Linked DNA regions of Lonchura striata. The protein of the gene in region 1 purifies or fractionates together with the protein of each later gene. This does not show direct contact. Links are inferred from orthologs where the notes say so. Each region holds a gene or a part of one and is shown on either strand. Other genes may lie near its edges. The genes, in order: KCNJ4 and DLG4.

The links.
Region 2: the proteins of KCNJ4 (region 1) and DLG4 purify together in Homo sapiens (affinity purification with western blotting, with the first as the bait; 3 studies listed by BioGRID). This does not show direct contact. The link is inferred for Lonchura striata from reciprocal best matches to the Homo sapiens genes KCNJ4 and DLG4.

What each region holds. Positions count from the first base shown.
Region 1 is NC_134607.1:23,758,122-23,772,997, forward strand, and holds the start of KCNJ4 (inward rectifier potassium channel 4), read right to left. Parts: upstream 7,330-14,876; 5' UTR 6,827-7,329; intron 3,846-6,826; exon of another isoform or gene 3,521-3,845; intron 1-3,520. Other genes in the region: KDELR3 (ER lumen protein-retaining receptor 3), read left to right, coding at 12,743-12,833, 13,735-13,835, 14,308-14,466, 14,796-14,876. UniProt on the Homo sapiens protein: Inward rectifier potassium channels are characterized by a greater tendency to allow potassium to flow into the cell rather than out of it.
Region 2 is NC_134636.1:1,785,143-1,800,018, forward strand, and holds the start of DLG4 (disks large homolog 4), read left to right. Parts: upstream 1-5,312; 5' UTR 5,313-6,398; coding exon 6,399-6,428; intron 6,429-14,876. UniProt on the Homo sapiens protein: Postsynaptic scaffolding protein that plays a critical role in synaptogenesis and synaptic plasticity by providing a platform for the postsynaptic clustering of crucial synaptic proteins.

The DNA.
Region 1 (14,876 bases):
TCTCCTGAGACCCACATGTGAAGGAGGAAGCTGCAGAGTCAGTGGAAATTCCTATGGAGAGGTATGAAACCAAGCTGGTGGGTGCAGCAAGGAGAGATGCTAGGCAGGAGGCTTCAGCCTGGACAGATGCCTCTCCATCCCTCTGCTGCCTGTCCTGTGTGTACATGAACACCCACGAATTTCATGGCCTGCAGAAGCCCCCCAGCACTTTTGAAAGCTGCTGCAGCATGGATGTCACAGCCACTGGGTTGCAGCATTGCAACAGTCAACCAGATGGGTCTCCAGGGCCCAGCAGCTGCCTCTAGCCCCAAGGCATGTGCTGCCCTTCCTTCTTACCCAGTGACTCTCCCTCCTCCTGTGTCTTAGACTGAGCAATTCCAGGGACACCACCACGGTGCTGCAATCATCTCCTCCTTCCCGTGTGACACCATGCTCCAGCAGCACAAGCCATCACACCAGCCCACGCTGCCACTCCAGTTCTGCTCTGGCCCTCAGCAGGCACGTGGGGCTGCACTGCTCCTGTCCCTTTCCAAGGGATCTGCAGGATAATAAGGTCAAGAAGGTGTTTGGTGCCAGGGCAGTACCTCCATTGCTCCATCCCTGTGTACAGGGATGGAGTCCCAGTCTTTCTCCAGCCCCTGCCAGAGTAGATCATATATTGTCAATCCTTTCTTACATTTGCAATGGAAGAGTCTCATGAAACAGAACAGAAAAGTCCACGCTAAAGCACTCCCCCACTTCTCTTTTTATAACAACCATATCTGGTGCTCTGGGACATACACTGTGAGCGACAACGATGGAAAAATCCCAGGGTATTTTTACACTCTTAGTCTTTGCTTTATCTGGAGTTGTCTGGCAAATGCTTCTCTCCAGTCTGTGGTCAATACCACAGCCGCTGGTTGCACTTTGCTTTGTGCCCTTGTCCCTGTTACCGGCTGCATGGCACCGGCTGGCTTGGGATCAGCATCCACATCCCCATCCTGCCAGCTCGGGCACGGTGACAACACGGCAGACGAACTTCTCGCCTCTCGGGGAGCCAGGGCGGAAACGCCCGCAGCTGAGGAGGGACCTCTCTGCCTTTTTGCAGAGCCTTGCAGACCCACAGCATACAATATGTCCTCTCCATCCTCTTCGTAACTCCATCTCTCCTGTTCCTCAGGAATATTCCCAGGGTCCATGCTGGGGCTGACAGGGCAGTCTGTGCCATGGGTGGCTGTCCTGCCGCAAGAGCCAGCGGCCGAGCTCTCTCTGCTCCGTGCCGGCAGGGCAGGCTGCCAGGCGCTGTATGGGCACACGCGAAGGCACAGTCACTGTGCAGGAGAGTTTTACCATATTAAAAAGGCAACTGACATATGGAAGGTGAGGGGAGGAAGCTGTAATCAACTCTATACCATTTTTATATACACATTTCTGCCTTTTCGTTCAATAATTATAAATAGATCAGGTGCCAACAGTCCCCATCTGCCCCTCAAGGCATGATCCGCTGACCAGTTTCCCTCTCCAAAAGAGGATTTTATTCATGTGCTTCTGCTCGGTTTTATATTTTGGAGTGGAGTGAGAAGGGGGGATATTTTTTCCCCCTGTGAAGCTCTGGAGCCTGAGGATGGGTAATATGAAAACAAAACAAAATGATTTGAAGTTAAACCATCTCAGTGTGTGACTCAGAGCTATTCATAGCTCCCTGAAGCCAGCTGCAGCAACGGAGCCAGAAGGATTCTGCCCGTATTATTATTCCAATTACCATCTGAATTAAAAGTTTGAGCAGTGATCAGCCCACATGCTGATGGGAGGGGGAGAGAAGAAAGCAAAGAGAGAAGGAGAGAAAGAGTGAGAGGAAGAAAAAACAGATAAAAATGTGAACCACACAAAGGTCCCCGGGATGACAAAGTCAGGGAGAGGCACAGAAAGGTGACAGCATCACCTCCCGCCTGCTCCCACACCGCCCCAGCGATCCCTGCTGCGGCTGCACCGTCCAGACAATGGCGCTGTGAGAACAGCTGCCTACTCCCCAGCATCGCAGACTAGGTGGGGGATACCCCATGGTGGGGCTGGTGGGACTGGCACCAGCATTCACCCACTCCTCTTTGGCCAAAATGAGGCTGGGAGTACATGACACAGGGGCTGGGGGGTGGACTGAGCAGGATTGTAAAGAGAGGATGCTGCTGGATTGGCAGGTGGGGAGAAGTCCCTGCTTTTTCTTGCTGAGTGAGGAAGGTGGGTGTTATTCTCTGTAGCTGGCATCATAGGAAAAATTAAATGCTCAGAAGGGCCCTGGCCTTCCCTGGGTGGTGTTCTTGGACAAAAGGGAACTAAGCTTTTGTAGCAGCCAGGGTGCAGATTGCATCCCACCTGCTCCTGAGGAAGCAGAGGGGCTGACATGCCTCCAGCACCCTGCCACCAAAACCAGAGACTAGACCCAAAAAGGTTAGTGCAAAACCTGCAAGAGGTGAAAAACTGAAGGTTCTGGGGTGTCCCTGATGTCCTCACATCCCAGGCAGATACAGTGCACTCAGGTCACCTCCTCCAGCTTCCCAGCACAATTGCACAGTGCAAAGGGTGTCTTCATTAATCACATCTCTGGAGCTCCCTTCACTGGGCGTCCTGCCCTGCAGGAGCCCTGGTGTAAGGCCATTCCCAACAGCATCCCTTCACCATTTCTTCAGCACAAAGTGCCTGGCCATGTGGGATGTCTTGATGCCTTTTGGCTAGTCAGGGGACAAGGATAATTATCAGTGTGCAGGAAAAGAGGGGGTAAGAGTGGCTTGCATCATCAGCCTGCCTGCTGCAGTTGTGGTCTTGACAGGGCAGGGATGGACTGCCGGTGACTCTGCCAAGCACCCAACAAGGCAGATGCCTGCAAATAATTTATGAATGATGATAATAACAGTGACAGCAGCAAGGGCAAGCAATAACCAGGGCAAAGCCTGCTCTGCGCCAAGTCCCCGATCTAGAGAGGCTGCAGCCACTTCTCCACACCCAGCTGCTGCACGACAGCTGAGTGCCCAGCCTGGCCTGGCTGCTAAGCACTAACCCATCCGAGACAGGGGAAAAAAATCTCCCTTCACCCCGCCTTGTCGCTGGGCTAAGAGGGAACTGAGCAGAGCCACGAGCCTCCTGAAAGGGCTCCAGCTGCTCCCCTTTCGGCCATCTCTGCTAGACACCAGAAACAGAGCAGAGGGAGCATCCCAGGTAAGCTGGAAAACGCAGAGAGTGGATCAAGTATTTCACTACAGGTTTGCTGACTTCTATTGCTGCGGCTTCATCCGTCAGGTTTAACAAGCACATCTGGAAGGGGTCAAGCCTAAGTGCTGCCGAACTCACGCAGTACAGAGGATTCCTTCCCCTACCCTCCATCTCCCCGACAAGGAAGGGCTGGGGGAGAGCAGAGCGAAGCGGGACACGGTGGCTGCACCTGCACCCTGCCAGGACTGCGATATCCCCCCCGCCGTCACCACGGGTGCTGTCATACCCTGCTCCTCCGGCTGCGACAGCCGCTCCCGCTGGGATCCTGCCCGCTCACCTGCCTATCGCCCGCTGGCGCTCGGTGCTGCCCGCAACTTCTGCCTGCTCACCTCCACCCGGACACGAGGCCGTTTCTTGGTGCTGGGAGCAACGGGAACGGGAGAGGAGAGGAGTTCTGGGGCCGCTGTGCCTGGTCCCGTGGCAGGCACCGCCTCTTCATAATGCCATCGAGCTCTTCAGAGGGATGAAGCGCCCGTCTGCCCGGCCTCTGGGATCCCCGGTGCCCTTCAGCCCCGCACTCACCGTGCTGCTGGCGGGGCCGATCTATACAGCTCTCCCGGGGCTTTACCCTCCTCTACAGCAGAGTCACTTTCGACATCCACTTGCTCTGAGACTCCTTTCAGCTGGTCAGTCTGCGCGGGTGCTTTAGCGGGCTGCCAGCAGAAAGGGAGCCGGCGAGAGGAGAGGGGAGAGCCAAGCTGAAGGCAGGAGAAAGGAGAGCAGGCAGCAGAGAAGCAGCTGGGACAAGGCCAGCAGCTCTTTGTACTAATGCTGGTACCGCTTGCCAGGGAGGGAAGGAGGTGGGGAGATGTGTCAGGGTCGTTTCTCTGAGCCTTTTGCAGGGGACAGAATGGGGGACGCTGCTTCCCTCATTATCGAACAGCACCAGGCTCCCTCTGAAGTGTTTCAGGAGAAATGTTGCCATAGAAATAAAACAGCCGTCCAGATTGTGAGGGGCAGACCCACTGCCATGGTGGCAGGGGCGTGGGCAGAGCGGCAGCAGGAGCCCCTGGCTGGCGGCGTGGGGAGGTGCCGGGCTGGAGTACCTTGTTCTCCACCCTCCAGTCTCTGATTTCCAGTGAGAGCAGCAGTGGTGCTGCTGTGCCAGCATGGCTGGTGCCAGGAGATGGTGGGCATCTCCTTCCCAGATAGACCAGTGAGTGAATGACAAAACTGTCCCTGGAGCAAGCTGCCTGCTGCCAGGCTCCCAGGAGGACAGGCGTGGAGGTGCATGAGTCTCTGGGGCCACGGGGACAGGGTCACATTGCAGACAACTCCCATCCCTCAGCAGCCCGTGCCACGACACCACCTTCACTGCTGCAGAACAAGCCTCAGAGGTCTGAGGGCGAGAACCAGCTCAAAAGCAGCTCTTGCCTGTCCCAAGCCCCTCTCTGCCAGAGAATCAGTATCTCTCCCAAGAAGGGGCTCCAATCCCAGCCATCACCATTAAAACCACCTTGTCTGGCGAGCAAAACCGGTGCCGGTGGCTCTGGGGGTTCCCTGTGAGGTCTCTCCGCCCTGGTAAGGGGCACAGGAGCAGTGACGTCAAGGAGCAGGAATTTAGCCTGACTCAGTTTCGCAGCGTTGCGAGGCAAGCGCAGACGGCTCCAGTCGGCCCGTGCCATTCACAGGAAAGCGAGCGGCAGCGGGAGGCTGGGAGCCGCGTGGATGAGTAAGAGATCGATTGCTGAGACGCCAGCATCCATCTATCGATCCCTGGCCGCAGTGCCGGGTTAAGCCAGCCCAGTGCAATAACGAGGCGGGATAGCGGGGCTTGCTGGGGGCACGGGGCCATTAACTGCTCCGCTCGGCGTCCGCACTGATGGCAGCGTGCGGCGGGCACAGGTATCCATCACCGCGCCTCCTGTCACTGACACCACCCCAGGGATGCAGCTGCTTCCCGGGCGTGGCCGGTGGCTGAGCTTGGGGTGGCCGAGAAGCTGGAGGGGCCAGTGGGGATTGGTCCTGCCAAGAAACTCCATCCCTCCCCAGCCACCTCCTGGCTTTCCTTGAAAACCATGGCGGGGGACTGCAAGGGACAAGGACCACTGCCTGCCCCCTGCCAGCACCACACATCAGGGCACTTGATCTGAGCACTTTGATCCCCAAACGGGGAGAGATGGAAGAAAAAAATGGTGGAGGAGAGGGAACCCGCTTCCCTCCAGATCAGCCCTCTCCAGCTTATCCTTTGTGTCCATCCTCACCTTTTGTCCTCTTCCCCACCACTCCCTGTCCCCAGCAGATTCATGCTTCCCACTAAAGCACAATTTGCCCTGTATTGATTACTATTTTCAGTGTCTGCAAACAGGAGTGGCCACACACTGCCAGGGTGTCTCAGGCTTCTGTGGGTGCCACTTCTGGTGGTGGATGGAGAAGGGACACATTCCCATGTCTCTGTCAAGATGTATTCCCCATGCACCTTCCTGATCCCGCCCAGGCCCCGGATAACCCCAAGCCCTGGGCTCATCTCCACACCTCCCATCTCCTGTGGATGACTCCCCCCAAGCAGCCAAGGAGGGCACAGAGCAGGGATTGAAGGTAGCCTTGGAGCTGTGTCACCTCTGCCATGAGTTTCTGTCACTCTCTGCCCTTCACAGCACACCCCCAAGGGGAGCAAGGGGAGAAGGGAGAGGCCCCAGAGATGCTGTTTGCTTTGCCATCAATGGAGTCAGGGCTGGGCTGCAGGGATAGGAAGCGCCAGGCTCTTGCCAAAAGGATTTGGATGACTCCAGGCTATTTGCCCAGGAGGGAGGGCCTTGGGGGCTGATGGGCCAGGGATGTCCGGGGTGATCTGCCAGCACCATGCAAACCTGCCTGCCCACTCCTGTCCTGGTGGGGAAGCCGACCTTCTGAACAGGGAGCAAAGGCAGAGTTTTCCTGGTAGTTTGCTCCTGGCTTCCTCCTGAGCTCCTTCACCCAAAGCCACTATCCAGAAGACCCTTTGCACCATGCCTGTCTGGGGGGTGTTGGACCACCACTGGCATGATCAGCCTTGCTGGGACTAGGAGAGGTGGACGGCAATGGAGAGGGGGACAGATCTGAAGCCCAAAAAGCTCCACAAGCAGCAGGAAAACAAACACATCCACTTCAGCCCCATTTGCACCCGAGAGCCTGAAGAGCAGGCCTCCAGCTGCCTCCTTCTGTGTGAACTGGCTGGGACCAGCACAGAGAAGAGTCTACAGAGCAGGAGAAGTAAAAGGTGAGCAAGATCCAGCCCAGGGCGAGAAGACACTAAGAAAACACGGGGAACTGAAAAAATGAAGAAGTTACCTACAAAGGGACCGAAGTTAGGGTGGCGAGAGGGCGGGGAGGGAAGTTGGGGAGGTTTAGAGGCAGGAGCCCACCCCTGCCCCTCGGCCCGTGGCCGCCCCGGTAGCTGTGCGTGCATACGCCATGCACACAAGGCAACTTTATTATTCACTGGCACGCTCACACGAAGCCACGCATCTCTCCCCAAGTTATATTTATAGCTGTTCCTCAGAGCGAACGCTAATGAAACAATACATTATTTTCCGAAGGGAGAAAAACCCTTCGCGCTCTCATGCCGGTGCGGAGAGCAGCGCGCCCCGGCACCGCCTCTTACCCGGGTCCTGCCGAGGGCTGCCGCCTGCTCCAGCCGTGCCGAGCCAACATCAGAGGAAGGGAAAAGCGCCCGGTCTTTCCATCTCACCACGAAATGTCTCAGCCGGACCGGAGGAATCAGGGGAGTCTCTCTGCAGTCCTCGCTCGCCTCCAGCCTAGGTTTATTTTTTTCCCCTCCGAAGAGCTACTTCTCCGCTGCGACCTGCTCCTCTCCTAACTCTGCCCTGCCCACGCCAGCGCTCTCCTTCTGCCTCTGCCTCTCAGAATTTTTTGCTCCCAGGAGCGTCCATCCCACGGAGTGCTGATGTGCCTTCGTGGCTCAGCGACGGGTTTAGGTCTCCCCCTCCTGCCTGGCTCCCTCCTTCTCTGGCATGATTTGCCCGTGCCCCTTGCTGCCCCCCTGCTCTAGTCCCCAGATCCCCCCTCTCCCTGACACTCTTCCTCCCTTTGCGCTCCGCTCCCTTTCCCTGGCTGCCTCTCCCCCTCGCTGATTGCTATGCAGTCTGTAGCTGAGAAGTCAGTAACTCTGTGGTAGGATCCAACAGCTTTCCGCTACTTTAGCCCATCCTCGCGTGTGAGCTCAGAGCTGCGGAGCCGCCATGGGGGAGACAGAGCGACCATCCCCAGCGGGAAGGGGATGGTGGGGCCGCCAGAGAGGTGAATCCTCCTCCTGGGCGGCTGCACAGAGATTAAATAACTACCGTCAGAGGGCTTTTTCCCACCTGGATTTGGGGTGCTGGGCTGACACCTAGCCCCGAGGAAGGACCAGGCTCTCCCAGCTGATGCTGTTTGCTGTGGGGCATTGCTTCCCCACGCTACAGAGCTGGTGATTTCCTGCCGGGAAGAGTAATGCTGGGACAGGAGCTGGACACGGAGGGACTAGACCTCAGGGCTCCAGGATAGTGCACAGCCATCCTGCTGGGAAACCTGTCCAAGAAACCTCTCTTGGGTCTCCACGGCCAGCAGCATCTCAGAGGCTTTAAAAAGGTCACTTCTTGGTGACAAGGAGAGATTTTGCAGCAAAAACAGAGGCTGAAGAGACTCCTGACTACACAGGCAGTGGCTGTAGGCACAGGATCCTGGGGACAGCCCTGTTCCAGAACAGCATTTTTGAGGACATGGTTTCTGTCTTGGTGCCTCATATGCTGTCCGCAGTGTTAAGGCCTGTGCTGAAAAGTCAAAAAATATTTAAAAACCCATTTTTTGAGTCTCCTCTGGGTCCCAATCCTGCAAGGACTATGACCCTCCCTCCCAAAACCCTCCCAAGGTGTGGCATATAGGATGACCCCTGCACAACATGCTGTGGAGCCTGCTGTGCCCTGCCAGCACCAGTGAACACTGCGGTGGTGAGCACAGCCTGTTCCCACCTGGCAAAGCCACTGCCGGGGCAGCAGAGGGTGCTGGGGTGGGTTTAGTAGCTCCATGCAGATGAGCAGCTGCAAACCAGGAGCACATCAGCCTGCTGAATGGGTCAGTTCACCCCAGTGCACCCATGGCTGCTCCCTACTGCTCCTGGGGAGCTGCTGCACCTGGATGCAGCAGAGCCAGCCCATCCACTCCCTCTGCAGCCATCCCTATGAGGACCTCATTCAGGTTCAGAGGGTACGTATTTTCCCAAAAGCTTTGTCTCTAGGACCTGTTTTGGGGCTGCTTCCCTAGAGCTACTGACCAGTATCTGCCCAGCTGCTCTTTGGCAGAGTGCACCATCCCTCTGGCACCACAGCAGGCCTTTCCTCTTCATGTGGTAAAGGGATGAAGATGGGCCTGAGACATCTTGCTCCTTCCCAGAGCGGGCAAAGCCAAGTGCAGCCCTGTGACCGCCTCAGCCTCAAGTGGGGTGTCTCCCTCTCTGCCTTTTGCTCCTTACTGCTGGCTCCCTCTGAGGCCTCACCACATTTCCCTCTGCCTTTGCAGCAGGAGGGTAGATAGCTGCACCTTGTGCATGGTGTGGCAGCCTGACACTGCCAAGAGACAAGTGGCCCTTCCAGAGGCAGCGAGAGGGGCATGGGGACGCCACATTGGAGATGTCACCGGCCCCTTGCTGTCCTTGTGCCCCCCAAGTGCCATGCCCTGACCGCCCCATGGCCGCCGGCCCCAGCAGCGGGGTGGCTCACACTCGCCGCCCCCGCCCGTCTCCACCAGCACCGTCTTTAATAAGAAGTGTGGAATATTTTAGCACCTATGTAAAAACCACCACAGACGGTGGTGGCAGCCGTTGCCAGGGAGACGCTCCCAAAAATAGCCCCACTCCGCCAACCTTTCCCAGTGCCACTGTGGGGATTGAGGGAGGCAGAGGGATGGAGGGATGGAGGGATGGAAGGGTGGAACGAGGGACGGATAAAGGGATGGAGGGATGGAGGGAAAGAGTGCCATACAGATGGACAGAGGAATCTTTGGAGGGATGAATGGAGAGAGGAGGAGTGAGGGGTGGTTGAAAAGATGGAGGGAAGAATGGATAGAGAGAGAAAGGGATGAGAGGGATGGCTGGAGATGGATGGAGAGATGGGTACAGTGGAAAGCAAGAGCTCCTGGGAAGGTGAGAAAACACTGCCTGCCTCTTCTCCTGCCTGGGCATCAAGAGACGAGCAACCTGTATGACAGCAGCCCCTACTTGGACACCCGTGGTCCTGCACTCCTGTAATACCAGCTAAGCCAGCACAAACCGTCAAGCCTTCTCTGTGTTGAGCAGGTCTGACTTTGGGTGTTTAAACCAGAGAGCAAAATTCTGGGCTCCTTAGCACCTGCCGTGTTCCGTCTGCAATCTTCCACCGACCATCCTATCTCTGTCTGTCTGTCCCCAGCATTCCAGAACTGCCCAGCCAACCTGATCTGGTCATGGGGGCAGAGATGGTGAGACACAGAGGTGACCCATGGTGCTCAACCCCACCGTGTTCCCCAGCCCCTCTGGGAATGCAGAATCATTGCCCTCTCTTAGACAAATCCTTGAGACTGCCCACTCTCCCAGAAGGTCTGGATGTAGCCTGATCTACATCCTGCAGCAGAATTGGAGGGAGACACCTGGAGAACCACCAGGGGCAAAAGCAGAGAAGCCTTTTTGATAGAAGGAAACATTTGTTTTAGTGATTAGGAAATGCCCTTTTGTCCCTCTTCTCATCCCACAGCCATCACCTCATAGGCAGAGGTGGAGAAGGGCCCTGAATTAAGCTGCTGCTCTCTGGCCCAGTGGCTCTGCAGGAGGAGCCTTCCAGACCAGCAGAGGCAGAGGGAAACCCCAAAAATAGAACTAAAGGAGGAGGGATTGGGGGGGGGGGGGAGAGAGAGAGAGAAAAATAAACCAAACAACCCCAAAATCTCATTTTTAATATCAAATCCCAGCTCACTTTCCTCCTTGTCACCCTGGCGACATTCCTTGTGGTCACCATGGAAACGGGAGGCATGGAGAGAGCATCACCATGCGGGGTGGTGGCAGCACCCGGCATTATTTTGGGAGGCAGGGAGACACCCGGCGCAAGGAACTTGGCATTGTGGCAGGGCAGGAGGAGGGAAGGTTTATTTTTACTTGGTCCCACTCCATGTGCCAGTTTTGTCTCTAAGAGCCTGGGTGTCCCTTGCACTGCAGCAGCTTTCCTATGGCCCCCATGTACCACACAGGGATGGTGTTCCATGGGGACACCCCAGCCTTACCACCCTGTTCCAGCTGGGTGGGCTTGATTGGGCTGCTCCCATGAAGTCCCTCTAATGGTCACCTCAGCTGGTGGTTCCAGGTGCCAGAGTGGGAGATAATGCTGGGAGTTGGGCCCATCAGCTCTTCTTGGGAAGGTGCAAGATGAGGAGAATAAACCTTTGCCTTTCTCTGGAGGGGACTTCTTTCCTTGGGTGGGACAAGAAGCTGCAAAGAGGAGTGCAGGGACAAGAGAAAGACAAAGGCTCTCAGACATTGCACACCAGGGGGTTGGAAGGGGATTTCTTGGAAGAAAGGACTCCAAATCTGTTCCTTCCCCCCAACTTTACATCCCTGCTCCATGGATCAAAACTCTGCCTACCTGCAAAAGGACCTGGGGTACCAGGGACCTGCAGGGCCACCAGGGCTGGGGCTTGGCTTTTACCAGCACCCACATGGCCTTGTGAAGCCCTGCTGAAATCCCAGGCAGCTCCACTCTGATGTCTGGAAACCCAATTCAGGCAGTCCTTGCCCTTTGCCAATCGTCTCTTTTGCTCTAACCCACCCTTGACCCACCGCAGCAACCCCTGCCTCAGTGCCCTGGCTGGGAACAGGCAGGGACGTCTCCAGTTCCGTGGGGCTGAGCAGGTGTTTTCCAACCCGGCCTGTGAATCCATCTGGAAAAGCCCTGTGATGCAGGTGCTGGAGCGTCAGAGAGGGAAAACACAACCGCCAACCTAATGGGCAGGGAGGAAATGTATGCAAATATATTCAGAAAGGGAGCCGGTGATGCTAATAGGCTTGTTAATCCTCTCGGAAAGCACCAGGAATAATATTTTTACACTTTGGTCGTTAAGCATTTTACTCCAAGCAAGCCCATAAGGAGAGAGAGACATGCGTAGAGGATGGCCAAAAGTCATGGCTGGGGACAGGGAGGGCAGCAGCCAGAGCCAACTTTGGGACAGGAGCAGGCAGGATCACACAATCCAAGGGTAACCAAATTAGACCCGTGGCCAGATGCGATTTGCTCAGGGCAAGGCGACAAATTACAACTTCCATTTGGTTGTACTAAAGCAGCTTTGAATTAGTGATTAGCTATTGACTACCTAATTGCTGGATCTTGATGCAGAGGTCTCTCTGCTGCTGCCATGAGATCTCCCTGTGTAACTGCTGCTCCGAGGACAAGGTTCATCCAAAACAAGCTGGTCACCCGGCTTAATATATTTTCAAATATATTAAAACTTTCTAACATTCACTACTGAGCTCTTTTCTGTGAAATCTATAAAACCAGCAGCAACCACATGCTTCTTTCACTCAACAAATTCCCTACATTTTTTGTAACCCTCTGGAATCCAGGATTTCCTTCTAAGAATCCAGGATTAATATTTTCAGTGAAGTTTGTTTCAAACCAGCCCTTGGGAGAATATTTTCTTTCTCCATGGCTGTGCTCAGGGATCCACTCTGCTCCAGATAGGGCATCTGAAGGAAGGGGTGTCTGGTAGGGCAGACACCAGGGAATGGCTGTCGCTGTGGAAGAGCTGCAATGGGTTGATAATTCAAATATCTCTCCACTTCTTCTTTGGCTGCAGGAGCCAAGGTGGAGCACTGGTGAGAAGGTGCTGCAGGTGGGATGGGGCCGGTAAGGGCAGAGAGCAGAAGGCTGGAAGCAGCACAGAGGTTACTGCACCCGTGGCGAATATTCCTGGAAAGTCTGGCCCTCGCCGGAGGGTGTGTCCTCAAGGCCAGAGGATGGGAATCCTCTTCCCTCTGCCTTTTCCCCTTTAACCACACTTCCGTGTGTAACTTGAGACAAGCAGGGAAGAAAAAATAGGAAGGGGAAAAAAAAAAAGAAAGGGAAAAATAGCGCAGTTATTCCCGCCTCTGCCTCCTCCTCTCTCTCCTCCCCGGCCAGCCAGGAGCCACGTCACCGTCACCCAGCGCTGGCTGTGGGGCTGCTCAGCCTGGAGAGCTCTCCGGGACACAAACTCCAACTTTCAGCCCAAAGCAGAGGGAGAAAGGCCCTGCTCTGGGTGAGGGAGAATCCACCTCGGTGGAAAAGTAAACAAGGGAAACATCCAGGCTGGCAGGGGAAAGGCATCTGCAGCCACGGGACAGGGGAGACGGCACTTTGTGTTAGGAGAAGGAAGGGCTCCGTGCTCAGGGAGAAAGGAAAGTTGAGCCGAAGGAGACCGTTCATTCAGCCGAGGCTCGGTGGAGAAAAACTTCCTGCCCTCGCCCTCTCTGCCTGCAGAAAGAGCCCCAGCCCCTCCAGCCCAGAGGAGTCCCCCCAGCACCATGAACATCTTCCGCATCCTGGGGGATGTCTCCCACTTGCTGGCCATCATTATTCTCCTGCTGAAGATTGTGAAGTCCAAGTCCTGTGCTGGTGAGTGCTCCCATGTCCCAGGGAAGGAGGGTGGCCCTTCTCAGAGGGCAGTTCGGTGAAGGGTACAACAAAATGGGAGCTGGAAAGGCCAGTGATAGCCCATAGGAACTGGCAGCCCTCCCCCATGGGCTCTTTGAGGGAAGTCATCCTCTTTCTCTGGGAGGTTTCCCGGCTAGGAGAGGGCTGTGTTGGATGTGATGTGGCAAGGTGTACAGCCTCAGGCAGGTGTTGGTCTCAGGGTGGTGAGGTGAAGGAGAGGGTGACAAGGCTGGAGGGAGGTGGAAAATGAGAGCAGGAGTTTGCGGCAGCACCAACACCAACAACCTGGAGAGGAAGCTGCTGTAGGTTGGAGGTTCTGCCAGTGGTGGGCAGGTGCCAGAGGCTGCCCCATCCCAGGGCGAGGAAATCAGGACAGCAGCTTCCTGCGCTGGAGTTTTGCTCATAGTTCCCTCCTCAAGAGATTTTGGGGCTGGGCTGCTGGGGCTGTGGCCATTATCACAGCTACAGAAGTGGGTAGGCCAAGTTCCGCCAGTGCCCGGGGCTGGTCCTGCAGCTCTTCCCTCCTGTGGCAGTTGTCACATCACACAGTCCCCTGCTGAGGTGGGCAGGCAAAGGGGGAAGGGAGGCAAGAGAAAAAGGCCTTTTGACGACAGCAAGGACTGAACTGGCCAAAGTGGTGAACATGCCCACCGAGCACCAGTTCCTGCAGGCAGCACTCAGGGGCATCAGCAGGAACCTGCCCTGTTACCTGGGAGACTCTGGACAGTCTGGGGTAGAGCTGCCTCAGCAGCCACACACCAGCCCTGGCTCACAAAACAACACACATATCAATGTAAGGAGGAGGCACCATCCCACAGACCCCTCCCTTCATCTGCTTTCCTTTCATCTCCCTGCCACGCAGGAATCTCTGGGAAGAGTCAGATACTTTTTGCCCTTGTCTTCACAACCCGCTACCTGGACCTGTTCACGAATTTCATCTCTGTCTATAACACTGTGATGAAGGTAAGGAGAGGGAGTGCAGCAGGAGAGATTCCCCTCAGCTTGACACGGTTTCTTGAGGAGGTGAGGGCACACAGTCAGAGTGGAAGGGTGGATAAGGATGCTTCTTTTGGTGCCATTGTCCAAAACTGCTTTGCCATAGCCAGTGAGTGCGCTGAGCCATATTTAGGACCACTTAAACCAGAACAAGATGCCATGAACCCAGCCTGGGTGTCCTTGTACAGCAGGAGCATTAACATAAAGCTGCTACCAAGCCAACATCTTCACAGAGTGCTCCAGAGGGACTCAAACGTGAGATTCTCATGGTGGGGCAAGCTTTACCTGATCACTGGAATATTTCCAACAGAAGTCAATCTGTAAGGCAACACAGGCAAAGCAGTCACCACTATCTTGACTTCTGGGAAAGCCAGCCTCTCTTTAAGCATGGAAAGTGCAATTGCAGGTAAGGTCTTGCCATCTCCCTTCTCTTCCACAGGTAATTTTTTTGATTTGTGCCTACGTCACTGTGTATATGATCTATGGGAAATTCCGGAAAACGTTTGACAGTGAGAATGACTCCTTTCGCCTCGAGTTCCTGTTGGTCCCTGTCACAGGCCTGTCATTTCTGGAGAACCACAGCTTCACCCCCTTGGAGGTAAGGAAAAGCTGAGACAGGAAAAGGGAAGGCAAGCAGCAGCAGCCTTACACCAGGCAGCAGAGTGAGCAGCATGTTGAATAGCCAAGATTTTTAACAGCAAAAGCAGGCAGGAAAGGCAAAGTTGGCAGGCCTTGAAGACAGTACCATCTATAGAGCAGCTCAGCACTGTCTCCTCTCACTCCCAGCACAGTGAGCTCATTTTCCCCAACTTCAGCAGCACTACTCATCGTCTTCACACATCAGTGATTTGCCAAACAAAAAGCTTTAGGTCTTAACACATACTAACCAGCACTGACTCCCCACTGCCTTCATTTTGCGCCTCACAGATACTCTGGACCTTCTCCATCTACCTGGAGTCTGTGGCTATCCTTCCTCAGCTCTTCATGATCAGCAAGACAGGGGAAGCA
Region 2 (14,876 bases), on another chromosome or scaffold:
AGATCTGAATTTGGGGGTCCCCTCCCCAATTTCGGGGTCCCTGACCCAATTTCGGGGTCCCTGACCCAAATTTTGGGTCCTATCTCCATTTTTGGGGTTCCAAACCCAAATGTGGGGGTCCCAAATCCCCAATTTTGGGTCCCCTCCCCATTTTTGGGGTCCCTGTCCCAAATTTCGGGTTCCCCTCCTCATTTTCGGGGTCACATCCCCAATTTCGGGGTTCCTGACCCGAATTTGGGTGTCCCTGTCCCCAATTTCGGGGTCCCCTCCCCAATTTCGGGGTCCCATTCCCAATTTTGGGGTCCCATTCCCAATTTTGGGGGTCCCATCCCAATTTTGGGGTCCCATTCCAAATTTTGGGGTCCCATCCCCAATTTCGGGGTCCCCTCCCCAATTTCGGGGTCCCAAACCCGAATTTGGGGGTCCCCTCCCCAATTTTGGGGTCCCTGTCCCAAATTTCGGGGTCCCATCCCCAATTTCGGGGTCCCTGACCCGAATTTGGGGGTCCCAGATCCCCAATTTGGGGGTTCCATCCCCATTTTTGGGGTCCCAAACCCGAATTTGGGGTTCCCCTCCCCAATTTCGGGGTCCCTGTCCCAAATTTCGGGGTCCATCCCAATTTGGGGTTCCCCTCCCCAATTTTGGGGTTCCCATCCCCAATTTGGGGTTCCCCTCCCCAATTTGGGGGTCCCATCCCAATTTTGGGGTCCCAAATCCCAATTTCGGGGTTCTCATTCCCAATTTGGGGTCCCAAATCCCAATTTTGGGGGTCCCATTCCCAATTTGGGGTTCCCCTCCCCAATTTCGGGGTCCCATCCCAATTTTGGGGTCCCATTCCCAATTTCGGGGTCCCAAATCCCAATTTGGGGGTCCCAAATCCCAATTTGGGGTTCCCCTCCCCAATTTGGGGTCCCAAATCCCAATTTGGGGGTCCCCTCCCCAATTTCGGGGTCCCAAATCCCAATTTCGGGGTCCCAAATCCCAATTTCGGGGTCCCATCCCCAATTTCGGGGTCCCAAATCCCAATTTCGGGGGTCCCATTCCCAATTTTGGGGTTCCCAAATCCCAATTTCGGGGTCCCCTCCCCAATTTCGGGGTCCCATCCCCAATTTCGGGGGTCCCATTCCCAATTTTGGGGTTCCCAAATCCCAATTTTGGGGTCCCATCCCCAATTTGGGGTCCCAAATCCCAATTTCGGGGTCCCAAATCCCAATTTCGGGGTCCCCTCCCCAATTTCGGGGTCCCAAATCCCAATTTCGGGGTCCCCTCCCCAATTTCGGGGTCCCAAATCCCAATTTCGGGGTCCCCTCCCCAATTTCGGGGTCCCAAATCCCAATTTTGGGGTTCCCCTCCCCAATTTCGGGGTCCCAAATCCCAATTTCGGGGTTCCCATCCCAATTTTGGGGTTCCCATCCCAATTTTGGGGTCCCAAATCCCAATTTCGGGGTCCCAAATCCCAATTTTGGGGTTCCCATCCCAATTTCGGGGTCCCATTCCCAATTTCGGGGTCCCATTCCCAATTTCGGGGTCCCATTCCCAATTTCGGGGTCCCATTCCCAATTTGGGGTCCCAAATCCCAATTTGGGGGTCCCAAATCCCAATTTTGGGGTCCCAAATCCCAATTTCGGGGTCCCAAATCCCAATTTTGGGGTCCCAAATCCCATTTTCGGGGTCCCAAATCCCAATTTTGGGGTTCCCCTCCCCAATTTCGGGGTCCCCTCCCCAATTTCGGGGTCCCAAATCCCAATTTTGGGTTCCCAAATCCCAATTTCGGGGTCCCCTCCCCATTTTTGGGGTCCCATTCCCGATTTTGGGGCGCAGGCGCTCGGCGGCTCCTGGACGAGTTTCTGGGGGTCCCCCCCCGGCTCCGGGCCCGGCAGCTCCTGGGGGTCCTGCAGAGCCGCCTGTTCCAGGCCCTGCTGGGTGCGGAATTTGGGAATTCCGGGAAAATTCGGGAATTCCGGGGAAATTCGGGAATTCTGGGGAGAATTTGGGGGGGATTTGGGGGGAAAATTTGGAATTTGGGGGGCATTTGGAGGGAAAATATGGATTTTTGGGGGGTTTTTAGGGGATTTTGGGGAGAAATTCTGGAATTTTGGGGGAAATTTGGGAGATTTTGGGGGATTTTTGGGGATTTTTGGGTCATCTGGGGGGTTTAGGGGGGATTTTGAGGGGAAATTTGGGAATTTTAGGGGTTTTTTAGGGGATTTTGGAGGAAAATTTGGGGATTTTGGGGAGAAATTCTGGAATTCTGGGGGAAATTTGGGAATTCTAGGAAAAATTTGGGAATTTTGGGGTAAATTTGGGAGATTTTTGGTGAATTTTGGGGATTTTTTGGGGGATTTTGGGGGGTCCTGGGAGGTTTTGAGGGTCCTGCTGAGCCGCCTGTTCCAGGCCCTGCTGGGTGCGGAATTTGGGAATTTCGGGGGAAATTTGGGAATTTTGGGGAGAATTTTGGGGGGATTTGGGGGAAAAATTTGGAATTTTGGGGGGTTTTTAGGGGATTCTGGGGAGAAATTCCAGAATTTTAGGGGAAATTTGGGGAATTTTGGGGAATTTTGGGAAAAATTTGGCAATTTTGGGGGAGTTTGGGGAAAATTCGGGAATTTTGGGGGAGTTTGAATGGGATTTTGGGGGGTTTAGGGGGGATTTTGGGGGCAAAATCTGGAATTTTGGGGGGATTTAGGGGATTTTGGGGAGAGATTTGGGAATTTGGAGGAAATTTGGGAATTTTAGGTGAAACTTGAGAGATTTTTGGGGAATTTTGAGGAATTCAGGGGAAAGTTTGGGAATTTTGGGGGAATTTGAGTGGGATTTTGGGGGGAAATTTGAGGATTTTGGGGAGAAATTCCAAAATTCTGGGGAGAAATTGAAGAAATTTGGTGGAAATTTGGGAAATCTGGGGGAAATTTGGGAGATTTTGGGGAATTTTGGGGGATTTGGGGGAATTTTGGGTGAACTTGGGGGGATTTGGGGGATTTTGGGTGATTTGAGGCGATTTTGGGGATTTTTGGGGGATTTGGGGGATATTTTGGGGGGAATTTGGGTAATTTGGGGGAATTTTTTTGGGATATTTTGGGGAATTTTGGGAATTTTTGGGGATATTTTGGGGAATTTTGGGAATTTTTGGGCTCTCACCCCGTTTTTCCCCCCCAGACATCCAGGAGAGCTACGAGAGCTCCGTGAGCGGCCCCGAGCCCCGGCCCCGGGTAACCCAAAAATCCCCAAAATCCCCCAAATTCCCCCCAAATTTTCCCCTAAAAAAATCCCCACAAACCCCCACAAAATTCCCACCAAAAAAAATCCCCCAAATTTCCTCAAAATCTCCCCAAAAAACCCCAAAATCTCCCCCCGAATAAACCAAATCCTCACAAAAAAAACCAACCCGAAATCCCCTCAAAAATCCCAAAATCGCAACCAAAAAAACCCCCAAAATTCCCCAAAATAACCCAAAATTTCACCAAACCCCAAAATTCCCCCAAAATCTCCGCGTAAAAACCCCAAATACCCCCAGAAAAACCAACATTTCCACCAAAAAAACCCCAAATTACTCCAAAATCTCCACAAAAAATACAAAATCCCAAAATCGCCACAAAACCCCCCCAAAATTCCCCAAAATAACTCAAAATCCCCCAAAATCCACCCCAAATTCCCCCAAATAACCCCAAAATTTCCCAAAAACCCAAAATCTCCACAAAAAACCTCCAAAATTTCACCAAAAAACTCCAAAATTTCCCCAAAAATCCCAAAATCGCCGCCAAAAAAACCCCAAATTCCCCAAAATAACCCAAAATTTCCCAAAAAACCCCAAATCCTCACAAAACCTCCCAAAATTCACTCCAAAATCTCCCAAATTGCCCCAAAATCCCCGAAATCCCCCCAACCCCTCCCCCCCTTCCGCCCCTCCCCCCGCCGCTGCCGCTCCCCCAAAAATCCCAAAAGTTTCTCCCCAAAATCCCCAAATTTCCCCCGAAATTCCCAAAATTTCCCCTCAAATCCTCCTAAAATCCCCAATTTTCCCCCTAATCTCCCAAACCCCAAATTCTCACCCCAAAATTCCCAATTTTCCCCCTCGAATCCTCCCTGAAATCCCAAAATCACGAATTTTCCCCCAAAATTGCCCAAATTTCCCTCGAAAATTCCCAATTTCCCCCTAAATCTCCAAAATTCCCAAATTTCCCCCAGAAATTCCCAAATTTCCCCCCAAAATTCCCGATTTTCCCCCTAAATCTCCAAAATTCCCATTTTCCCCCCAAATTCCCCCCAAAATCCCCATTTTTTCCCCAAACCCCCCAAATTTCCCCCCAAAATCCCCAAATTCCCCTCAAATCCCCAAAATCCCGAATTTTACCCCCCAAAATCCCCATTTTTCCCCTCAAATCCCCCCTAAAAATCCCGATTTTCCCCCAAAATTCCCAAGTTCCCCCCCTAAACCCCAAAATTCCCAAATTTCCCCCCAAACCCCGAAAATTCCCGATTTTCCCCCAAAATTCCCAATTTTTCCACCCCAAATCCCCCCAAACCCCCAAATTTGCCCAAACCCCCCAAATTCCCGAATTTCCCCCCCAAAATCCCCCCAAATTCCCAAATTTCCCCCAGAAATTCCCGATTTCAACCCCCCAAAATTCCCCAAATTTCCCCCCAAAATTCCCCAAATTTCCCCCCAAAATTCCCCAAATTTCCCCCCAAAATTCCCCAAATTTCCCCCGAAAATCCCCAAATTTCCCCCTCCAAAACCCCCAAAATCCCCAAATTTCCCCAAAACCCCAAAATTCCCCAATTTCCCCTCAAAAAATCCCCAAATTTCCCCCTCCAAATTCCCGACTTTTCTGCCCCCAAAATTCCGCCCAAAATTCCCGAATTTCCCCCCCGAGCCTTCATCCCTCCCTCCTCCTCCTCCTCGCGCTGCTCCTCCTCTTCCTCCCCCCGGCGGCTCCTTCATCTTCATCTTCATCTTCATCTTCATCATCTTCATCATCTTCATCTTCATCTTCATCATCTTCATCTTCATCATCTTCATCTTCATCTTCGTCATCTTCATCCTCATCCTCATCTTCATCATCATCTTCATCATCCTCATCATCTTCATCTTCATCTTCATCTTCATCATCTTCATCATCTTCATCCTCATCCTCATCTTCATCTTCATCCTCATCTTCATCTTCATCATCCTCATCTTCATCATCTTCATCTTCATCTTCATCATCTTCATCATCTTCATCATCTTCATCTTCATCTTCATCTTCATCTTCCTCCTCCTCTTCCTCCTTCTTCATCCCCTCGGCTCCTTCATCTTCCTCCTCCTCCTCTTCCTCCTCCCGGGCCTTCCTCCCGCTCCTCCTCCTCCTCCCGGCCCCTCCTCCCGAGCCTTCCTCCTCCTCCCGCTCCTCCTCCTCCTCCTCCCGCTCTTCCTCCCTTCCCGCTGCCGCATCTTCCTCCTCCTCCTCTTCCTCCTCCTCCTCCTCCCCCCAGATCTTCATCCCCTCCATCCTCCTCCTCCTCCTCCTCCTCTCCATCCTCCCCCCCCCGAGCCTTCATCCCTCCATCCTCATCCTCCTCCTCCTCCCGAGCCTTCATCCCTCCATCCTCATCCTCCTCCTCCCGAGCCTTCATCCCTTCATCCTCATCCTCCTCCTCCCGAGCCTTCATCCCTTCATCCCCTCCATCCTCATCCTCCTCCTCCTCCATCCTGGTCCTTCATCCCCCCTCCTCCTCCTCCTCTTCTTCCCGAGCCTTCATCCCTTCATCCTCTCCATCCTCTTCCTCCTCCTCCTCCCGAGCCTTCATCCCCCCCCCCCTTTTCTTCATCCTCCTCCTCTTCCTCCTCCGGGGCCTTCATCCTCCTCATCCTCCTCCTCCTCCTCATCCTCCCCCCCTTTTCTTCATCCTCCTCCCCCTCCCGAGCCTTCCTCCTCCTCCTCCTCCTCCGGAGCCTTCATCCCCTCATCCTCCCCATCCTCCTCCTCCTCCTCCTCCTCCGGGGCCTTCATCCCTTCATCCTCCTCATCCTCCCCCTCTTTTCTCCCTCCTCCTCCTCTTCCTCTTCCTCCCGAGCCTTCATCCCTTCATCCCCCCCCCCCCTCCTCCTCCTCCTCCTCCTCCGGGGCCTTCATCCTCCTCCTCCTCCTCCCCCTCCCTCCCGAGCCTTCATCCCTTCATCCTCCTCCTCCTCCTCCCCTCCCTCCGGAGCCTTCATCCCTTCATCCTCTCCACCCTCCTCCTCCTCCCCCCCATTTTTTCCTCCCTCCTCCTCCTCCTCTTCCTCCTCTTCCTCCGGAGCCTTCATCCTCCCCATCCCCCCCCCCTCCTCCTCCTCCTCCCCCTCCCGAGCCTTCCTCCCCTCCTCCTCCTCCTCCTCCTCCTCCTCGCGCGGCCCCCCCGGCCCATGAGCGGCCGCCATGGATTGTTTGTGCATCGTCACCACCAAGGTACCCCAAAACCGCGCGGATTCCCCCCAAAACCGCCGCCGTTTGTTGGGGGGGGGTCTCGGCAGGATTCGGGCCGATTTTGGGGGGATTTGGGGTTTTTTGGGGGGCTCCTGGGGGTGGGGGGGATTCGGGGTGACTCGAGGGGGGGATTTGGGGGCTCCGAAGGGGTTTTTGGGGGGGCTCGAGGGGTTTTGGGGTGTTTTTGGGGGGGTCTGGGGGGGATTTGGGGGGTCCTGAGGGGATTTGGGGGAGATCTGGGGGTCTCGAGAGGATTTGGGGGGATTTGGGGCTCCTGGTGGGGGGGGGGGATTTTTGGGAGATTTGGGGGGGGGCCTCGAGGGGATTTTGGGGTTTTTTGGGGGCTCCGAGGGGATTTTGGGGGCATTTGAGGGGGTCTCGAGGGGTTTGGGGATTTTTTGGGGGGGTCTCGAGGGAATTTGGGGGCGTTTGGGGGGGTCTGGGGGGGGTCTCGAGGGGATTTTGGGGGTCTCGATGTGGCTGGGGGCAGAATTTGGGGCTCCAAGAGGATTTTTGGGGTCCTGGGGGGATTTTGGGGGAATTTGGGGGTCCCAAGGAGATCTTGGGGGGTCTCGAGGGGATCTGGGGGTCCTGGGGAGGTTTTGGGGGTCCTGGGGGATTTTGGGGGGTCCTGGAGGGGATTTTGGGGGGTCTGGAGGGAATTTGGGGGGTCCTGGGGAGGTTTTGGGGATCCCGAGAGGATTTTGGGGGGATCTGGAGAGATTTTGGGGGGTTCCGATGGATTTGGGGGGATTTTGGGTCTCCGGGGTTGATTTGGGGGGTCCTGGGGGGCTCCGGGTGAGATTTGGGGGATTTGGGGAATTTTGGGGCATTTTTTGGGGTTCCTGTGGTGGTTTTGGGGCAGATTTTGGGGGTTTGGGGGAGAATTTGGGGGGTTTTCCGACCCCTGCTGGATTTTGGGGTTCCCGGGGGGGATTTGGGGGTTTTTTGGGGGTTTTTGGGGGTGGGGGAGGGGCGGTGTCCCCCCAAATCTCGGGGGTGTCACCACGTGGCGGCCGCGGCGTTTCCCATGGCAACGGCGGGGGAGGGGCGGCGCACGTGGGGGCGGGGGGGGGGCCCCAAAATCCCGCCCGGAACCCCCAAAATCCGCCCAAAAAATCCCAAAATCCGCCCAAAACCCCCAAAATCTGCCCAAAAACCCCCAAAATCCGACCAAAATACCCCAAATCCCACCTGAAATCCCAAATCCCGCCCGGAACCCCCCAAAATCCGCCCAAAATACCCCAAAATCCGCCCAAAATACCCCAAATCCCACCCGGAACCCCCCAAAATCCACCCCAAAAACCCCAAAATCTGCCCAAAAAACCCCAAATCCCGCCTGAAATCCCAAATCCCACCCGGAACCCCCAAAAATCCACCCCAAACCCCCCAAAATCTCCTGGAATTCACCCTGAAACCCCAAATCCCTCCCGAAATCCCAAATCTCGCCTGGAATCCCCAAAATACACCCAAAAAACCCCAAAATTCGCCCAAAATACCCCAAATCCCTTCCAGAACCCCAAAATCCCGCCCGGAATCCCCCAAAAGCCGCCCCAAAACCCCCAAAATCTGCCCAAAAACCACCAAAATCTCCTGGAATTCACCCTGAAACCCCAAATCCCTCTCAAAATCCCAAATCCCGCCTGGAATCCCCAAAATACACCCAAAAAACCCCAAAATCTGCCAACCCCCCCCCAAAATCCTCCCCCAAAACCCCAAAATCTCCTGGAATTCACCCTGAAACCCCAAATCCCTCTCGAAATCCCAAATCCCGCCTGGAATCCCCAAAATCTGCCCAAAACCCCCCAAAATCTGCCCCCAAAAAAACCCCAAAATCTCCGAAAATTCACCCTGAAACCCCAATCCCGCCCAAAATCCCAAATCCCACCCGAAACCCCCAAAATCTCCTAAAATTCGCCCTGAAACCCCAAAATCTCCCAAACCTGGCCCCGAAATCCCAAAATCTGCCCTGAAACCCCAAAAATCCGCCCAAAAAACCCCAAAATCTCCTGGAACTCACCCTGAAACCCCAAATGCCGCTCGGAACCCCCAAAATCCGCCCAAAAATCCACCCTAAAACCCCCAAAATTCCCCCAAACTGGCCCTAAAACCCCAAATCTGCCCTAAAACACCCAAAAATGCCCCAAAACCAACCCAACATCCCAAAATGCCCCAAAATCGGCCCCAAAACCCCCAAAATCCACCCTAAAAAATCCCCAAATCCCCCAAAACCGCCCTGAACCCCCAAAATGGCCCCAAATTGACCCTGCGAACCCCAAAATGCCCCAAATTCGGACCCAAATCCCCCAAAATCGGCCCCAAAATGCCAAAATCCCCCAAAATTGGCCCTAAAATCTTCAAAACCCCCAAAATCGGCACAAAACCCCCAAAATCTCCCAAAATCAGCCCTAAAAACCCCAAAATCTCCCAAAATCAGCCCTAAAAACCACAAAATTTGCTTTCAAAAGCCCAAAATCGGCCCTAAAACCCCCAAAATTGACCCTAAAACACCAAATTGGCCCTAAAAATCCCAAAATGAGCTTTAAAAACTCCAAAATTTGCCCTAAAACCTCAAAATTTGCCCTAAAATCCCCAAAATTGCACTAAAACCCCCCAAATCCCCCAAATCGATCCCAAATCCCCAAAATTTGGCCCTAAATGGCACCAAGAGCCCCAAAATCCCCAAAATTGGTCCCAAAATCTGCAGAAATTCTCCTAAAATCTGCAGGAATTGGGAAAAATTCACCCAAAACACCCAAAATTCAGCTGAAATCCCCGAAATTCACCTGAATTTCCCAAAAATTCGCGTTAAATCCCCCCAAAATTCACCTGAACCTCCCAAAATTCACCCGAATTCTCCCAAAATTCACCTGAATTTCCTAAAATTCACCTTAAACTCTTAAAATTCACCTAAAATCCCCCAAATTCTCCTGAATCTCCCCAAAATTCACCTTAAACCCCCAAAATTCACCAGAATTCCCAAAAATTCACCTTAAATCCCCCAAAATTCACCTTGAACCCCAAAATTTCACCTTAAATCCCAAAAAATTCACCTCAAACCCCAAAAATTCACCTGAAAGCCCCAAAATTCACCCAAAATTCACCTGAACCTCCCAAAATTCACCCGAATCCCCAAAATTTCACCTGAAATCCCCAAAATTCTCCCAAGATTCTCCTGAATCTCCCCAAAATTCACCTTAAATCCCCCAAAATTCACCTGAATTTCCCAAAAATTCACCTTAAACCGCCCCAAAATTCGCATTAAATCCCAAAATTCACCTTTAATCCCCAAAATCCCTCCAGGATTGGCCCGGACATCCCAAAATCCGCCGGAATTCTCCAAAATCCACCCAAACCTCCCAAAAATCCTCCCAAAATTCCCCCGAAATCCCCCAAAAATTCCCCCCCCCCCAATTCCTTCTTCCATCCCTGAGTTCCCCTCAGGAATCCCCAAATTCCCCAAAATTCCCCAAAATCCCCCAAAATTCCCCAGAATTCCCCCCAAAATCCCACAAAATTCCCCATAATCTCTCCAAAATCCTCCAAAATCCCCCAAAATCCCCAAAAATTCTCCTGAAATCCCCCAAAAATCCCTCAAATTCCCCCATAATTCCCCCGAAATTCCCAAAAATTTCCCAAAAATTCCCCAAAACCCCTCAAAATTCCACCAAAGATTCCCCCCAAATCCCCCCAAAATCCCCCCAAACCCCCAAAATTCCCCCAAAATCCCCCCAAAATCCCCAAATCCCCCAAAATTCCCCCAAAATCCCCCAAACCCCCCAAATTCCCCCAAAATTCCCCCAAAATCCCCCAAAATTCCCCCAAAATCCCCCAAAATCTCCCCAAAATCCCCCCAAATCCCCAAATCCCCCAAAATTCCCCCAAAATCCCCCAAAATTCCCCCAAAATCCCCCAAAATTCCCCCAAAATCCCCCAAAATCCCCCCAAACCCCCCAAAATTCCCCCAAAATCCCCCAAAATCCCCCCAAAATTCCCCCAAAATCCCCCAAAATTCCCCCAAAATCCCCCAAAATCCCCCCAAACCCCCCAAAATTCCCCCAAAATCCCCCCAAACCCCCCAAAATTCCCCCAAAATCCCCCAAAATCCCCCAAATTCCCCCAAAATCCCCCAAAATTCCCACGCCGTTGCCCCGGCGACCGAGCCCCGCCCCCTCCCCCCGCGCTGTTCCCAGGCCGCGCCCCCTCCCCCCGCGTTGCCATGGCAACGCCTTCCCGCGCTCGTTGCCATGGCGGCGGCGCGCCAAAAGCGGCGGCCCCGCCCACTCGGCCCCGCCCACGTGACCGCCGGGCGGCGCGCGTCGCCGTGGAGACGGCGAGGGGGCGTGGCCTGAGCGAAGGGGGCGTGGCCTGAGCGAGGGGGCGTGGCCTGAGCCAGGGGGGCGGGTCCGGGGGCTCAGAGGGGTCACACGAGGACAGGTATGGGGGGGGGGTTTGGGGGTCCTGGGGGTCTTTTTTGAGGCAATTCTCGCTGGTTTTGGGGGTCCCGAGGCTCCTTTTGGGGGTCCTGGGCGCCGTTTTGGGGCAATTCTCGCTGGTTTTGGGGGTCCTGGGGATCGTTTTGGGGGTCCTGGGGGTCGTTTTGGGGTCCTGGGCGCCGTTTTGGGGCAATGCTCGCTGGTTTTGGGGGTCCCGAGTCCCTTCTCGGGGGTCCTGGGCGCCGTTTTGGGGCAATTCTCGGTGGTTTTGGGGATCCTGGGGGTCGTTTTGGGGGTCCTGAGTCTCATTTTGGGGATCCTGGGGGTCGTTTTGGGGCAATTCTCGCTGGTTTTGGGGGTCCTGAGGCTCCTTTTGGGGGTCCTGGGGTTCGTTTTGGGGTCCTGGGCGCCGTTTTGGGGCAATGCTCGCTGGTTTTGGGGGTCCTGAGTCTCATTTTGGGGATCCTGGGGGGGTCCTGGGCGCCGTTTTGGGGCAATTCTCGCTGGTTTTGGGGGTCCTGAGTCCCCTCTCGGGGGTCTTCTTGGGGGTCCTGGGCACCGTTTTGGGGCAATTCTCGCTGGTTTTGGGGGTCCCGAGTCCCCTCTCGGGGGTCTTCTTGGGGGTCCTGGGCGTCGTTTTGGGGCAATTCTCGCTGGTTTTGGGGGTCCTGGGGATCGTTTTGGGGGTCCTGGGTGCAGTTTTGGGGCAATTCTCGGTGGTTTTGGGGGTCCTGAGTCTCATTTTCGGGGTCCTGGGCGCCGTTTTGGGGCAATTCTCGCTGGTTCTGGGGGTCCCGAGGCTCCTTTTGGGGGTCCTGGGGTGGTCCTGGGGGGTCCTGGGGGTCGTTTTGGGGTCCTGGTGCTGCTCTCGATGGTTTTGGGGGGTCCCGGGGGTCTCTCTGACCCCTCTTGATGATTTTTGGGGGGTCCCTGAGGGTTTCTCTTGGCCCCTCTCGATGGTTTTGGGGAGTCCCGGGGGTCTCTCGGACCCCTCTCGATGATTTTTGGGGTCCCTCCCGATGGTTTTCGGGGGTCTCGGGGGTCTCTTGATGACCGTGTGGGTCCCTGGGGGTCTCTCGGACCCCTCTCTGTGATTTTTGGGGGGTCCTGGGGGTCATTTGGGGGTCCTGGTGCTCCTCCCGATGGTTTTGGGGGTCCTGGGGGTCTCTCTGTGATTTTTGGGGTCTCTCTGACCCCTCTCTGTGATTTTTTTGGGGGTCCTGGGGGTCGTTTCGGGGTCCTGGTGCTGCTCTCGATGGTTTTGGGGGTCCCGGGTGTCTCTCTGTGATTTTTGGGGGTCCTGGGGGTCTCTCTGTGATTTTTGGGGGTCCCGGGGGTCTCTCTGTGATTTTTGGGGTCTCTCTGACCCCTCTCTGTGATTTTTTGGGGGTCCTGGGAGTCGTTTCGGGGTTCTGGTGCTGCTCTCGATGGTTTTGGGGGTCCCGGGGATATTTGGGGGGTCCCGGGGATATTTGGGGGGTCCCGGATCGTTCCCAGCCCCCCCCGATCCCCCCCCGAGCCCCTCCCCCCCCGTTATCCCCTCCCCCCCGTTAATCCCCGCTAATCCCGGATCCTCCGGGGGGGGTCCCGGTACAACCGGGGGGGTGTCCCGGGGTTATTTTGGGGGGTCCCGGGGATATTTGGGGGTCCCGGGGGGGGTCCCGGGTGTATTTTGGGGGTCCCGGATCATTCTCGGACCCCCCCCAGCCCCCCCCCCCCGTTATCCCCTCCCCCCCGTTAATCCCCGCTAATCCCGGATCCTCCGGGGGGGGTCCCGGTGCCCGGGGGGGGTCCCGGGGGTCCCGGGGGGGCCGATGGCGGGAGCGGCCCCGGCCCCGTTGGGTTCGGGGGTCCCGGGGGGGGTCCCGGGCTGCGGGGGGGGGTCCCGGGGGGGTCCCGGCTGTTTCTCGCCGCTGCTGTGCCAGTGCCGCCTGGTCTGGAGGGACCGGAGCCTCTCGCTGGCCTTCGGCTGCAAGGTGGGACGGACTGGGGGGACTGGGACGGACTGGGACGGACTGGGGGGGACTGGGACGGACTGGGACGGACTGGGACAGACTGGGAGGGACTGGGAGGGGGAAAAATGGGGAAAAACGGAGAAAAAATGGCAAAAAAAGGGTTAAAAACGGAGAAAAAACGGGGGAAATGGGGATTTGGGGTTACTGGTTTGTACTGGTTTGTACTGGAAGGGACTGGAGGGGGACTGGGATGAACTGGGAAGGGGCACTGGGAGCACTGGGAGTGGCTCGGGAGGGACTGGGATGAACTGGGAAGGGGAACTGGGAGCATTGGGATGAACTGGGATGAACTGGGATGAACTGGGAAGGGGCACTGGGAGCACTGGGAGCGGCTCGGGAGGGACCGGAGCCTCTCGCTGGCCTTTGGCTGCAAGGTGGGACGGACTGGGGGGACTGGGACAGACTGGGACGGACTGGGACGGACTGGGACGGACTGGGACGGACTGGGGGGGACTGGGAGGGGCAAAAACCGGGAAAAACTGGGAAAAACGCAGAAAAAATGGCAAAAAAAGGGTTAAAAATGGAGAAAAAACGGGGGAAATGGGGATTTGGGGTTACTGGTTTGTACTGGTTTGTACTGGGAGGGACTAGGGGCACTGGGATGGACTGGGACGGACTGGGACGGACTGGGACGGACTGGGAGGGGCAAAAACCGGGAAAAATGCAGAAAAAATGGCCAAAAAAGGGTTAAAAATTGAGAAAAAATGGAGAAATGGGGATTTGGGGTTACTGGTCTGTACTGGGAGGGACTGGGAGGGACTGGGATGAACTGGGAAGGGGCACTGGGAGCACTGGGATGAACTGGGAGGGACTGGGACGGACTGGGACAGACTGGGACGGACTGGGGGGGACTGGAGGGGACTGGTGGGGGGGAAATGGGGAAAAATTGAGAAAAAATGGCAAAAAAGGGTTAAAAATGGAGAAAAAATGGGGAAATGGGGATTTGGGGTTACTGGTTTGTACTGGTTTGTACTGGGAGGGACTGGAGGGGGACTGGGAGCGCTGGGAACAGCACTGGACCATACTGGGAGCACTGGGACCCCCCCAGTTCCATACTGGGAGCACTGGGACCCCCCAGTTCCAGATGGGGACCCCCCAGTTCCATACTGGGACCCCCCAGTTCCATACTGGGACCCCCCAGTTCCATACTGGGAGCACTGGGATCCCCCAGTTCCATACTGGGAGCACTGGGACCCCCCAGTTCCATACTGGGACCCCCCAGTTCCATACTGGGACCTCCCAGTTCCATACTGGGAGCACTGGGATCCCCCAGTTCCATACTGGGAGCACTGGGACCCCCCAGTTCCATACTGGGACCCCCCCAGTTCCATACTGGGAGCACTGGGACCCCCCAGTTCCATACTGGGAGCACTGGGACCCCCCAGTTCCATACTGGGACCCCCCAGTTCTATACTGGGACCCCTCAGTTCCATACTGGGAGCACTGGGACCCCCCAGTTCCATACTGGGACCCCCCAGTTCCATACTGGGAGCACTGGGACCCCCCAGTTCCATACTGGGAGCACTGGGATCCCCCAGTTCCATACTGGGACCCTCCAGTTCCATACTGGGAGCACCGGGACCCCCCAGTTCTATACTGGGACCCCCCAGTTCCATACTGGGACCCCCCAGTTCCATACTGGGAGCACTGGGACCCCCCAGTTCCATACTGGGACCCTCCAGTTCCATACTGGGAGCACCGGGACCCCCCAGTTCTATACTGGGACCCTCCAGTTCCATACTGGGAGCACTGGGACTCCCCAGTTCCATACTGGGAGCACTGGGATCCCCCAGTTCCATACTGGGACCCTCCAGTTCCATACTGGGACCCCCCAGTTCCATACTGGGAGCACTGGGACCCCCCAGTTCCATACTGGGACCCCCCAGTTCCATACTGGGAGCACTGGGACCCCCCAGTTCTATACTGGGACCCCCCAGTTCCATACTGGGACCCCCCAGTTCCATACTGGGAGCACTGGG